2 linked regions of the Sus scrofa genome follow. The protein of the gene in region 2 purifies or fractionates together with the protein of the main gene of each other region. This does not show direct contact. Links are inferred from orthologs where the notes say so. Each region holds a gene or a part of one and is shown on either strand. Other genes may lie near its edges.

Evidence for each region. Proteins that work in one complex are often made in the same cells at the same time.
Region 1: the proteins of SRPK2 (region 2) and YTHDC1 purify together in Homo sapiens (affinity purification with mass spectrometry; 4 studies listed by BioGRID and IntAct, with this or other methods). This does not show direct contact. The link is inferred for Sus scrofa from reciprocal best matches to the Homo sapiens genes SRPK2 and YTHDC1.

What each region holds. Positions count from the first base shown.
Region 1 is NC_010450.4:66,082,608-66,089,882, forward strand, and holds the start of YTHDC1 (YTH domain-containing protein 1), read left to right. Parts: upstream 1-3,931; 5' UTR 3,932-4,319; coding exon 4,320-4,347; intron 4,348-7,275. UniProt on the Homo sapiens protein: Regulator of alternative splicing that specifically recognizes and binds N6-methyladenosine (m6A)-containing RNAs.
Region 2 is NC_010451.4:105,260,596-105,267,870, reverse strand, and holds the start of SRPK2 (SRSF protein kinase 2), read left to right. Parts: upstream 1-3,181; 5' UTR 3,182-3,196; coding exon 3,197-3,323; intron 3,324-3,602; exon of another isoform or gene 3,603-3,756; coding exon of another isoform or gene 3,757-3,772; intron 3,773-3,862; coding exon 3,863-3,917; intron 3,918-7,275. UniProt on the Homo sapiens protein: Serine/arginine-rich protein-specific kinase which specifically phosphorylates its substrates at serine residues located in regions rich in arginine/serine dipeptides, known as RS domains and is involved in the phosphorylation of SR splicing factors and the regulation of splicing.

The DNA of each region.
Region 1 (7,275 bases), on a different chromosome or scaffold from region 2:
ACAGAAGTCTTTAGAAGATTCAGGTTTAATTTTTTTGGCAAGATTACTTCATTCATAATGAAACGTAAGATGGTGTACTTCCCCTAGGAGGCATGTAACATCTGATGGCTTTTCTGCTAATACAGATTAGCAGCCATTAATAACCATTGTGTTGATCTGCATGTTTTGTTAATGGTTATAAAATGATGATGTCTTACTTCTATCATTGCTTCACCCTGGCCCCATATTAGCTGGAATACTTCCCTAAAGAGAAACTTTCCTTCATCAATTACTTGCTTGGTAACTGTGAGATACAGTCCTATTTGGAAAGGCAGGATACATGATTTCTCTTTGCTTATTAGTTTTCAAAATAATGAACAGGTTCCCTAGCATCACTCAAATGGGATTGGTGCATTTTTTGAAATATTGTGAATTTAAAGATTTAACCATATTTGATATGTTTCACTCCAATGTAATTTTATCTTTATAGTTACACAAAATGTCTCATATTTCGATAGGACCCTAGCATTCTCTGATTGCTGCTTTCAGCTTTGTAATATGACAAGATGTTCTAGGCTCATATTGTATATTCCCTTTATTAATACTCCCTAAGACTCAGGACTGCGTCTCCTCTACTTCTCACTCTACATAACTTTCCTGGTGCAATAGAATCCAACCACCATTTTTTTTTTTTTCTGAATCTACACACTTGATTATATATATATATATATATATATATATATATATATATTTACGCACACACTTTAATATTGGTCAAGGATAAGGCAATTGAGAGAGATGGTGGAGGAAATGTCATATTGGAAAGTGTATGCTCTGATTAAAGGCATTAAGCTTTAATAAAAGCACACAAACCTTTTTTTTTTTTTTTTTTTTGTCTTTTTGCTTTTCTAGGGCTGCTCCCGTGGCATATGGAAGTTCCCAGGCTAGGCGTCCAATCGGAGCTGCGGCCACTGTTGAACCTACACCAGAGCCACAGCAACGCAGGATCCAAGCCGAGTCTGTAGTCTACCCCACAGCTCATGGCAACGCTGGATCCTTAACCCACTGAGCAAGGGCAGGGACTGAACCTGCAACCTCATGGTTCCTATTCAGATTTGTTAACCACTGTGCCACGACAGGAACTCCACACAAACACTTCTGATTCAAGGAAAGTCTTAGCGAAGCAGGCACCCATTTGCAACCTGTGCTATATGTCCTAGCCCTGACCTGATTTTATATTGAATATTTTGAAAAATATATTTCAGAGACTCCAGATTTTGTTGTCTTTCTCTGAGGAGTGCTGATCTCCTTGAACTTGCACATTTTACAGGTGTGGGTCTGTAGAAAGCCTGCGCTGTTTTCCATTCCCACCCTCCAGCGGCCTCAACTTTGCAATTCTGTCTCCCTGCAGATCTTGTACCACAGATGTTTTAGGCTGGATCCTGACCTGGCCCTTACTCAGATTCGACTTGTTCCTCAAACATTACCTCACCACTTCCTCTTGCACTCGCACTCGCTGGCTGGTGGCAACTCACTGGTGCTCTCCTTAGATCCTTGACCACGCCCAGGCCTCTTTCTCCCTCAGAGCCTTTGATCGTGCTGTTGTCAGCCTGGATGACTCAGTCTCAACTTCACCTCCTCAGAGATGATTTAGTTTTTCTATGCAAAAAGCCTCCACCTGTTCCTCCCACCTTGCCCTATTAGCCTCTTATTTCTTTCATAGAATTCATCATAACTTTTAATTGGTTTACTTATGCTTTGTCTCCCTCACTAGAGCACAAACTTGAACTACCTGAAGAGAGAAACTGGGATCAATACCATATATGTTTTTTAACCTTGGCACCTATTACAACATTTGGGGCAAAATTTATTAAGTATTAGTTGACTGAAATAATGAGTAGAACACATATAGTGCTTTTCTTTTCTTTCTTTTTTCTTTTTTGTCTTTTTAGGGCCACACCTGTGGCATATGGAAATTCCCAGGCTAGGGGATCCAAGCTGTGTCTGTGACCCACACCACAGCTCACTGCAATGCTGGATCCATAACCCACATATCGAGGCCAGGGATTGAACCTGTGTATTCATGGATAGTAGTCAGATTTGTTTCTGCTGAGCTCCAGTCTAATGCTTTTCTTGATTCAGCTTCTTCTCACATAACCATTGAGTATGAACCTGAATTGAACCATGGGCAGTGCGGCCACCTAGGACTTTTTTTACATGAAAACCATTCTTTTGCCCACCACCCTTCCCCCTTCTACCTAGGCTAAGAGGCTTTTAGAGCTCAACTAGGCTTTATTTTCCCTTCTACAGAAAGCTTTCCTTTACTCTGTATTCCTCACTGGTCTGAGTAGCATGCACCTAAGGGTTCCAATAACTTCTCAGCTTACTCTACATAAGGCAGTGTCATGAAGTGGGCGGTGGCTGCCTCCAAATTGCCTGGATTAGAGCTATGCTCCTTACTACCACTTATCATTTGGGTACTTTAATTTCATATTACTTTACTTTCCTTATCAGTAATATAGAGCTAGGAATATACTAGCTAAAAAAAATGGCAGTTTTGGAAGATGAAGTCAGATCATATAGGTCATGTGCTCAGACCTGTCACAGAGTAAGAACACACATTTTTTAGCTATTATTTTTACACACTAATTGCCTGTTATCTTGTCTCTGCCCTATACATATCGAAAATTCCTTAAAGGCAAAAATATTGTTCTATTCACTCTTGATTCCCAAACATCCAATACATAGGAGGATTTTAGATTTACTGAATTGATTTCCTTTCTCCCTTCAAAACCCTCCAAATGACTCCAAATAACTGTTTATTCATCTCTGTTTATGTTTTCACGCTGCTTAATTCATCCAGTTGCCTTCAGTTTGGTTTCTATGTTAAAAGGGCAATCAAGGACCAAGACATTGTAGACTACTTGTCTTTCTCTAAACTTATCATTAGTGTGTGTGCATATATATATATATATATATAATAACAAAATTACTTTTTTTTCCTTCAAATTTTCTTTTCCTTGTAAAACTCGGTTATGGAGCAGTGAAGCAAAACTACATTTTTTATTCCTTTGGACAATGAACTTTAAGCAAGTTTCCTCTTAGATCTTTTTGTATTTTTGCCTTTTCTAGGGCTGCTCCTGTGGCATATGGAGGTTCCCAGGCTAGGGGTCTAATCGGAGCTGTAGCCATTGGCCTTTGCCAGAGCCACAGCAACGTGGGATCTGAGCCGCGTCTGCGACCTACACCACAGCTCACAGCAACGCTGGATCGTTAACCCACTGAGCAAGGGCAGGGATCGAACCCACAACCTCATGGTTCCTAGTTAGATTCGTTAACCACTGCGCCACGAGGGGAACTCCTTTCCTCTCAGATCTTTACATATCATCTAAAGTAATTTTTGGTCCCTTCCCTAGTTTTAATATCTGAATAGTATGTTTATATCAACTCTTTCCCAGGACCTTGATAAACGTTTAAATCAAATTTATTGTGTGAATTTACAAAGCTATATTAAAATACAATGTAATTCCTTTCCCCAATTAAAAACAAAACTGGTAGGGTTTTGTGACAAGTGAACTGGTTGCACCCTGCGCCGCGTCTGGAGCACCAAATAAGAAAGTACATCTGGTACCCGGAGCATAAAGTAGTGGCTGCAAAAGGACCCGCCCAGACTTGTCCTAAATAGGTCTCCGATTTCCAGAACTGAATCAGCTGTCAGCCAAAGCAATAGGAAGCATCTTTGGATAGACGTTTCGGGTGAGAAAACTAAGCCACTTGGGAGCAAGCAGCGCAGCTTGGGCGCCGAAAAACTAAGTAGGGAGACTTCACCGCTGGAAACAAAACTCTTTGCAGGGACTTCCGCCCTACAGGGGGCGGGGCGACGTGATGACGTTAGTCACGTTCCCTTCCCGCCCCTCTCCGCACTGTGACGTTCCCAGGGAGGAAAGAAGCGTAAACAGCGCAGGGCATTTCGGGAGCGGGATTGTTTCACGCAGGAAGCAGGCTCCATTTTAGCGCCGCCCGCCATCGCCGTCTGTTTCCCTTCCCTCCCCCTGACCCCTCCCGTCCCCAAGCCCCAACGGGAATCCTGGGCCTAGGATCCGAGACGCCGGAGTGAAAGGAGAGAAGGGGGAAAGGAAGAAAGGGAAGAAGCGGGGAGAAAAGGCGAGTCGGGAAGGGTAGAGTGGTGGAGACTAAGGTGCGAAGCGTGCAGCCCACCGGACGGACTGACGGACGCGCCTGTGCATCTGCTGCCGCGGCTGCGGCGCCCGCGCGAGTCGCGTCGAAGCGGCGGCGGTGGCGGCTGCGGCGGTGGCAGCAGCGGAAACAAGAGGGGAGCAATGGCGGCCGACAGCCGAGAGGAGAAAGGTTAGTGCAGAGCAAGGTGACGAGCGGAGGCGGGGCTCGGGAGTAGGTCGACGGAGCCGGGGTCGTCGTTGTGGGTTGGGGGTGGGGAGGTTAGCTTGCCCCGCGCGGGGCCGGTCTCCCCTTCGAGACGTTTGGACTCATTGGAAAAGACCAGGCCTGCCCTTTCCCCTTTCGTCCTCAATCTCCATATGACCTAACACTTCATCTAGCCATGGGTTTTTCTTTGATCCTAATTCTCTTCTTTACTTAACGTTTGTCTGTTCTGGGCGCGGCTGAGACTAGGCCTGTTCTGAGTTTCAGGCCCTTAGGTTTATTTCCTGGTAGTATTATGCGGATGTAATGCGTATTTTCAGAACAGCCTTTTTTGTTAGGCTAAATTTCGAAAACCCTTAGTGCTACAATTAAAGATGGTAGTTTAGTAAGCAAGCATCTTTAAGAAGTGGTATAGGTTAGGTTATTAATCTCGAGAAATGTCTACCAATAAATTAACTTCTGCCCGTTCTTGTTAACTAGGCAAAATGGCAAGAATGGCCTCTTTGGTTCCTCAAATGCTTATTTTGGAAAACATGTTTGGAAAGATGATTATGTGACTTAGGCCAAGCCAAGCCAAGCCAAGCCAAAAAAAAAAAATCCTAGCCACTGTTCTGATAGACACATGTTGTGCGTACCCCCAGAGGTACAATCAGAAACAAATGGATGTAATTCATAGAGAGTCGGAGGGATACAATTACTTTAAAATATGGGAAGAACTGATGTTGCCAGAATGGAATGTCATGTCTTTTGAAATACCGACTTCCCAGGCCCTAGAAATGTTAAAAGTAGATCCCCATCAATACATGGCTGAAAGGTGGTTTAGACTGGATCCTGCAAGGTTTTTAACAACCCTGTGGTGGTAGTTTTGGAAAGGTAATAGTTGATAAAAATATGGCCAGCTGCTGTCCTGTATTTCACAGATATACTCTTTTGTGTTGATAATTAATTTTAGGTGGTGATTTGTTGAAAGGGCTAGAGTAACATTAAATTGGACTTAAGAAGAGTCTCCAGTGAACTGCTCCAGGATTGGAACAAGCTCGGGAAATGGAGTGGACAGGAATGTATTTAAGATACTGCTCCTGTCTGAAGGCAGCACAATGATTAGGTTATAATAGTTTAATTTTCTTTCCTTAAACGAATCCTAGAGATACTCCCTCCCCCTTTGATAAATCCAGAAGGAATATGAAAATAGGATTGCATGGTGTTAGTGGAAAAAAAAGAAAGTGCTTTTAATTAGTGAAGTAGTGTTAAATAGATGACTTAATGTGAATTCAGTCAACACTGTATTGTGTTAGAGTGTAACAGATTGTGAGTTGTGTGTTTGGGAGTGGGTGATGGTGTTTGTGGGTGAGATGAACTAGATAGAAAATGAATAAAGCTCAGTGTTTCTCAAGAATTAATTATCTGTTAACCATGAACATAGTTGTGAGTCAGTTGTAGGGTAGACATGGTAATGTACAAGGAAGAAGAAAAGTAGGTGATGTTTTTAAAAATTTGTTTTAGGAGTTCCCTGGTGGCTCAATGGGTTAGAGATCCGTTGTGGTTACTGCTGTGGAGGATTTGATTCCTAGCCCTGGAGCTGCCACATGCCATGGGCGTGGCCAAAAAAAATGAAATAAATAAAAAATAAAAATTTTGTTCTAGAAATGGATTTAGTGATGAAAATGTAGTCTATGTATGTAAACGTTGTAACTACTTTTGGTAAATAGTAATGCCATTATTAGCAATCCTTAGGATAAATTGTTCAATCTTTGAAAGACCTCACATTTATGTAGTTTTTAAAAAACTTAATTTCCATAATTCAGCCTTTTTATTTCAAAAGTTATGATATAATTGCTTATCTTAATAGTTTAAGATTGTCTCCAGTTTACTGGAAAAGCCAGCAGATGCAATCTTACTGTAATTGCTTATTTAATTTTGGAATGGAAAGGTTTCTAGAATAAACCAGTTTGCAAATGAGACAGGCCTAGGGTATCTCACTTACCTGATATTTGTGAAACAGCTGGAATAATAGCTGGAATTAGAGTTAGTACTCGACTCTTTATTCCCATGTTGAACAGCAAAAGTGGAAAGCTAAATACTTATTGTCAACAGTTATTTTATATAAAACATTAGGTAATTATAAAAATAAGCCCTGTAAGAATTTTGGACATGTCACAAAACTTAGATTCCCTTCTTAAAAGCGTCCATAAATGGTATAAGATCTTGATATGAAATGAGTTTAAGTTGCAGAAGTTTGCTATAAATCACAGAACAGTTAAAAAAACTTTCAGTTACAAAATCCTTGGATTATTGGGCATTAGCTGTGTAATAAGCAGATGTTATCATCTATAAATGCTCATGTAATACCCATACTTAGAAGCTGAAACCTATAGCTGGAGAAATTGCCAGCTCCCTCTGATTCCCTTGGTGAGTCTTTGTCCAAAAAATGGATTTGGAAGATGTTGAAATGTTAGTGGTGTTAACTAATATTAAATACCATTTTTCTTTGAGGAGGAAAATACATGTTTTCTATTATAAACACCTTTATACATTTTATTTCTTAAGCTCTAATAAAGTTCTCGCTGAAGAACAGTTATACAAGTTTAATATACCTAAAATGTGGATAATAAGTTACCACTTTGAAGAGTAATATGTTTTCTGCATTACCAGACTGGAAGCTCCTTAAGGGCAGGAGTGTGTCTAGTTTACCAGGTTCTTGGTGTACAATGATTGTGTCTTGGTGCCTTGAGTAAATGATTTAGAAGGTTGTAAATCATTAACTCAAGGTTGGACTTCATTAATAACTGATTGGTTATGTGATATTTGCTATTGATGTCCAAAACTAAGAATTTCTTTTTTTTTAAATTTAGCAATATTTATTTATTTATTTTGATAGTAGGAAAATGTAACATA
Region 2 (7,275 bases):
ATAAGTTCCAGATGTGGCTCGGATTCAGTGTTGCTGTGGCTGTGGTGTAGACCAGCAGCTACAGCTCTGATTAGACCCCTAGCCAGGGAACCTCCATGGGCCGTGGGCACGGCCCTAAAAAACAAACAAAAAGTTTTCTTTTTTTCCCTTTTTTTTGCTGCACACAAGGCATATGGAAGTTCCCTGGCCAGAGAATGAATCCCAGCCACATCCATGGCCTATGCCTTATCTGTGGCAACACCAGATCCTTCAATCCAATGCGCCAGGCTGGGGCTCAAACCTGCACCTCCACAGCAACCCAAGCTTCTGCATTCGGATTCTTAACTCACTGCACCACAGTGAGAAAACCCAGACTGCTTTTTAAATACAAGGTGAAAAAGGTACCTTTACATGAAGAAAAGACTACATGTAACATCACCAATAATAGAACACACTGACATCATATACCTCTTTTTTTTCTGCTTTATTTATATATTTTTATTTTTTACTGTTTTTGTCTTTTAAGGGCCACACCTGTGGCATGTGGAGGTTCCCAGGCTCAGGGTTGAATCAGAGCTGTAGCTGCCGGCCTACACCATGGCCATAGCAACATGGAATTCGAGTTGAGTCTTTGACCTACACTACAGCTCATGGCAATGCTGGATACCTGACCCACTGAGAGAGGCCATGGATCGAACCTGCATCCTCATGGATACTAGTCGGATTCATTTCTGCTGTGCCACAATGGGAACTCCCATCATATACCTCTTGATGAAACATACTAAGATGCACACATCATCTATACAGTGTTCCTGACAAAATTATTTAAGTTGAATCTAATAGGGAACAGATGATAAAAATTGAGGAACATTCTGCAAACAGTAGAATGGAATTCTTCAAAGAAGTGAGTGTATAAAAGAAAAAACCCAGGGATTCTTTTACAGTAAGGGATCTTAAAAAGTTATGGCAATGCCATGCATGAACCTTGACTGTATGCCAGACTGAGAAAAAAGTCAGGACATTTTGAAAATTTAAATATGGCCACTGTATGTTATAGTCAGTAGTATTATAATAATAATAAATTTTCTGGGAGTTCCCGTCGTGGCGCAGTGGTTAACGAATCCGACTAGGAACCATGAGGTTGTGGGTTCGGTCCCTGCCCTTGCTCAGTGGGTTAACGATCCGGCGTTGCCGTGAGCTGTGGTGTAGGTTGCAGACGCGGCTCGGATCCCGCGTTGCTGTGGCTCTGGCGTAGGCCGGTGGCTACAGCTCCGATTGGACCCCTAGCCTGGGAGCCTCCATATGCCGCGGGAGGGGCCCAAGAAATAGCAACAATAACAACAACGACAACAAAAAGACAAAAGACAAAAAATAAATAAATAAATAAATAAATTTTCTTGGAGTGTTAATAGAATTCCGATTATGTAGGAGAATATCTTTGTTCTTATTAGATCCTTAGTGAAATATTTAAGGGTCAAGAGTAACAGTCTTCCAAAAACTCAAGTGATTCATCATAAAACAAAACAAAAAACTCATACACGTGCTCACACATACAGAGAGAAAACAAAAGTGGTGAAATGTTCAAAATTGGTGCATATGGGTTGATATTGGTGCTCACTATATTTTTCCCATAAATTTAGGTTTTTTTTTTCCTGCTTTTTAGGGCTGCACCCATGGCGTATGGAGGTTCCCAGGCTAGGGGTGGAAATCTGAGCTACAGCTGCCGGCCCATACTACAGCCATAGCAGTGCCAGATCTGAGCTGTGTTTGGGACCAATATCATAGCTCATGGCAATGCTGGATCCTTAACCCACTGAGTGAGGCCAGGGATTGATCAAGCAACCTCATGGTTCCTAGTCGGATTCGTTTCCACTGAGCTACAACCGGAACTCTGTAGGTTTGATATTTTTGAAAATAAAAAATTGAGAAAGTAAAAAGCTCTTCAGATTCAAGCAGTGCTGTTCCAGCGGGTTTAGCATCTTTAAAATAATCATACTTTTTTTTTTTTTTTTTTTTTTTTTTGGTCTTTTCTAGGCCCACATCTGTGGCATATGGAGGTTCCCAGGCTAGGGGTCTAATTGGAGCTGTAGCCGCCGGTCTACACCATAGCTCACAGCTCACAGCAATGCCGGATCCTTAACTACTGAGCAAGGCCAGGATCAAACCCGCAACCTCATGGTTCCTAGCTGGATTCGTTAACCACTGAGCCAGGATGGGAACTAGCATCTTTAAAATAAATATTTTATTTATTTATTTTTGTCTTTTCTAGGGCTGCACCTGTGGCATTTGGAGGTTCCCAGGCTAGGGGTCTAATCAGAGCTTTTGCTGTTGGCCTAAGCCACAGCAATGCCAGATCCGAGCCGCGTTTGCAACCTAGACCACAGCTCACAGCAACGCCAGATCCTTAACCCACTGAGCGAGGCTGGGGATGGAACCCTCAACCTCATGGTTCCTAGTCAGGTTCGTTAACCACTGTGCCATGATGGGAACTCCATAAAATAAATATTTCAGAGCAGCTATTCTGATCAGTTAAAACTACAGATGATGGAGTTCCTGTTGTGGCTCAGCAGGTAAAGAACCCCGAGATAGTGTCTCTGAGGATGTGGGTTTGATCTCTGGCTTTGGTCAATGGTTTAAGGATCCATTGTAGGGGTAAGCTGCAGTGTAGGCTGTGTATGAGGCTTGGATGCAACCCCTAGCCTGGGAACTTCCATATGCCCCTGGATGGCCTTAAAAAGAAAAAAAAAGAAAAAAAGCGCAGTTGAGATTAAATGGTCAGGATGAATCTCTTTCAGAAATATAATTATTTAAATGAACAAGGGACCTCTGCAGTTATTTTTCTCACAGTCATCTTGATTAGGAAACATGATGCGTGAGTTTGGAGTCAGCTAGGCCTAAATTTGAATCATTGCTGGGTAAACCTCTTCAGGACTGTTTCCTCTTCGTAAGATGGAGAAAGAACTCCTTTGGTGGGTTGTTGAATTAAACTGTTACCTATGGTATTTACAGAGCTGGGCTTTGATTCGTGTGCAAACACTTAATTCAACCTTCCATGCTATTTGCATCGTTTCCTTCATCACACTCGAGCAATCCTCTGGGGTAAAGGTGAGAAATAAGATGACTTTTCCAAGGTCACACAGCTATTGAAGGACCCAGGTTTCCCAGCTCTTGGTCCTGTGCCCTTTACACACTCGCCGGAGAGGAGGGAGCGGCGCTCATGGGGATGCAAGGATGTAGAGGAGCAAAGGGGGAAAAGAGGCCGCGCGAGGAGAGGTGGTGTGAGACCCATGGAGGCGCTGGCCCAGGAAAGGCGCATGGAGAGGCGGGCAGCGCGTCGGGCCGGGGTAGGTAGAGGGGCTATGGCTCGTGGCCCTATGCCGGGGAGAGGAAGGAGGCCTGGGCCAAACGCGGGGGCGCAGGAGCCGAAGGCCCAGACGGCGGCGGGGGCGGGAGCAGCGGTGGACGTGGGGGGGGGTCATTTTCGCCCAGGTGAGTCAGGCGGGTGGGTGCAGGTGGGTACGGGTGGCGCGGGAGGGACAGCGCGGAGGGTCTGGACCCCACCGGGTGGGTGGGGGCGGGGCGGGGGCGGGGCCGGCTGGGGGCGGGTCTTGCTGGGCCCCCAGCTGGAGCGGCAGCTGCGGCGGCGGCGCAGGCGCGGTCCCCGCCTCCTCCTGGCCGGCAGAACGAGTGGTGGCTGCATCCCGGCTCGGCTCCCGCGTCGCCGCCGCCGACGCCGCTGCCGCCGCGAAGCCCCCTCCCCGCTTCCGCTGCGTCGCGATGAGCTCCCGGAAAGGTGAGTGGCCCGTGGCGTCCTCTCTTCCCTGCCACGCGGCCCCTGAGGCCGGTCTGCCCGACCGTTAATGTGTGTCTTCTCTTTCCTCAGTGCTGGCCATTCAGGCCCGAAAGCGGAGGCCGAAAAGAGAGAAACATCCGAAAAAGTGAGTCCACGCTGCGCTAGTCTCCGGACCCCCGCCCCTGCCCGGTCGGGGGTAGCCCGCGGCCGCGCAGGGGAAAGTTGCTCGGGTCCCCGGGGCGGGCGAGCGGGCGGGCTGATCCCCCGGGACGCCGGCGCTCGCCTCCAGCGCGCCCCGCGGGCTGCCCGGGGGGAGGGGCTGACGGTCGGGGGAGGGGCGCGCTGGCCCGCGGCCAGCCCGCTGAGCATCCCGGACCCTCGGCCCCTTGGGTCCCAAGGCACAGGGGGCTGACGGACGAGGAGGCGCCGGGCGTGCGCAACGTCCCCGGCTCGCCGAGCTGTCCCGGGGGTCGCGGGCCTTCCTGGGAGGGGCGGTGGCGTCTGCAGGCCGGGCCCGGCCCCGCCGCGCCGAGTGCCGGCGTGAGGCTGCGGCGTTGCTCCCACCTGGCCACCTGGGCCCTAGAGGAAGAGGAACGGAGTGTGAGAAAGAGTGTGTGTGTGTTGGGTGTCTCCTCCTCTTCCTCCCCGGCCCCCACCTTTCGGCCTTTCAGCTGAAAACCCGAGCTGGTTGTCAAGTGGTTTGCCTCGGGCGTGTTCCTGGCTCGAGTTCAGCTCCGAGACCTGTGCGTTTCGGCGCTTGGGTTTTTTTCCGAAACTTTCTGCCCGGGCCGAGCGTGCCTTCACTGCGCGGCGGCTGCGCCCGGGTCTCCGGCTGCGCGGGACCGGTGGGCGTGTGCGCGGGCGGTCCTCGGCGCGGCTGCCCAGCCCCTCATTGTGCTGGGAGGCGACGAACGGGGTGGTGATATTTAAAACGTGCCAGCCGCCAGCCACCCCCAGCCTGGCCGCGGACCGGAGTGGGAGCGCCCGGCGCTCGGGAAGTCTTTCCTGGAGAGCTGCTTCGGGACCGCGGAGCGCCGCCGTGTCTCTCCCTTTCTTTCCTGGTTTTGAAGAATCTATCAGCGTTCAACATCTTTACTCCTTCTCCCAGATTTGTGGCTTCCCTCTTCCATTTGAGCAAGAAATACCCTGTGTTAAATTTGCTACTATAGGGATAGCCCATCATCATCTTTAAATAAAATCACGAAATATTTCTTGTTTGTTTTCTTTAGGGGACGAACCTGCAGCCTTCCTAGGCTTTTCCCCTTCCTATTAGCCTTGATTTCTGCTTAGCGAATTTCACACCCATTGGTGGCGTCTATGAAAACTGCCTAAGTCTTTACTATTAATGTAATGTATCGTGATAGGATTTTTGTTCATTCAAACCGGAATATAACTTGAAAGTATGTTCAGCATTTCACAAAATGTCGTAGCAACATCATAATGCCTTAAAAAAAAAAAAAAGAAAGAAAAACCTACTAGAGCGAGGAAGAAGTACTTATTAAGGACTTAAGGAACTGGTGGGTAAAAATTGGGTATTACATTCTCGAAACGTTAAATAGCAATGGATATTTGATAGTTTTAGATGCTTTAAAAATTAATGCTCTCAATCAGAACCTTACATTAGGCATTTCTTTTGGTGAACGACGGAAAGCCCATAAGTAAGGACTGTAATGTTTAGGATCCTGAGTGTTGGGTTTGGAGCACAACTTTCAACTCAAAGAGTTTATTCCTGCATAGCCCCTTTTTTTTTTTTCAGAAAAGTTAATAGAAGTTGAAAAAGACATGCTGGGAGTTACCCTTGTGGCGCAGCGGAAATGAATCCGGCTAGTATCCATGAGAATGCAGGTTCAGTCAGTGGGTTGGGGATTCTGCGTTGCGGTGAGCTGTGGTGTAGGTCACAGACACGCTCGTATTCTGCGTTGCTGTGGCGTAGCCCAGCAACTACAGCTCCAATTTGACCCCTAGCCTGGGAACTTCCATATGCCGTGGGTGCAGCCCTAAAAAGACACCCCCCCAAAAAAAGAAAAATGCATGCCTTTTTTTTTTTTTTTTGTCTTTTTTGCTATTTCTTGGGCCGCTCCTGCGGCACGTGGAGGTTCCCAGGCTAGGGGTCCAATCGGAGCTGTAGCCACCGGCCTACGCCAGAGCCACAGCAACGCGGGATCCGAGCCGCGTCTGCAACCTACACCACACAGCTCACGGCAACGCCGGACCGTTAACCCACTGAGCGAGGGCAGGGACCGAACCCCCAACCTCATGGCTCCTAGTCGGATTCGTTAACCACTGCGCCACGACGGGAACTCCAAAAATGCATGCCTTTAATTTTGGTGATGGCTGTTTGTGTGCAGAGATGGGTATATGTGTGTGTGTGTTTTGTAAACATGTATGTAAAATGTAGAAAAATCGTTAAGTCAACAGGTGTTTCATATTTCAGGGTATGACTTTCCTAATGACCTAGAGCCTTTTTTGGTGTGCTGTTGTTTGGATTTATGTAGTATGTTTATAAAGAATTAGCATATAGGGAGTTCCCATCAGGGCTCAGCAGTAGTTAACCCAGCTAATATCCATGAGGATGCATGTTCCATGCCTTGCTCAGTGGGCTAAGGATCCAGTGTTGCTTCAAGCTGCAGTGTAGGTCACAGATGTGGCTTAGAACCAGCATTGCTGTAGCCCTAGCTTGGGAACTTCCATATGTCACAGGTGGAGCCCTAAAAAGCAAAAAAAAAAAAAAAGTGCATATCCACAATATTCAACTTTTACTCTCACAGGCTAATTTGTTGTTGTTTTCCCTTATCTATTGTAATCATGTGACTAGATTTGAGGGATGACGCCTCAGCCAGTGACTAAATGAACTGGCCAGTCTGTAAGGACTAGATAGCTGTGTTACATAAAGTGTTTGATTGAGGCAGTGTCATTTTTCTTTTTCTTTTTTTCTTTTTATGGCTGCACTTGCAGCATATAGAAGTTCCAAGGCTAGGGGTTGAATTGGAGCTGGAGCCGAGGCCTATGCTACAGCTTGTGGCAATGCCAGATCCTCAATCCACTGAGCAAGGCCAGGGATCAAACCTGCATCCTCACAGACACCATGTTGGGTTCCTAACCTGCTGAGCCACAGTGAGAACTCGAAGACGTGAGAACTCGAAGACGTGTTTTTTTAAAGGGGTGTTTGATGTGTTTGATTTATTTACATATTCAACAAGTATTTGCATGCTCTTCCTAGGAAAGAGTAGTAGAGTTTTGAACAAGACAAGCAAACTTCTAATAAAGCTTACATTTTATGGGGGTTTGGGGAACCCTAAAGCAAAAGGGAGAAAATGAAGATGAGAACCATAAGTATAGTGGTAGATGATATTTGAAAACTGCTAGTCAATTTGCTGCTTGCTTTTCATGCATTTGTCCCTTGTGACAATTCTCTGAGGTAGGCATTGTTGTTCTAACCACTTTACAAATGAAATGGGCACAGCCTGAGTAATTACCATGTCCAGCTGTTACGTTGAATCTAG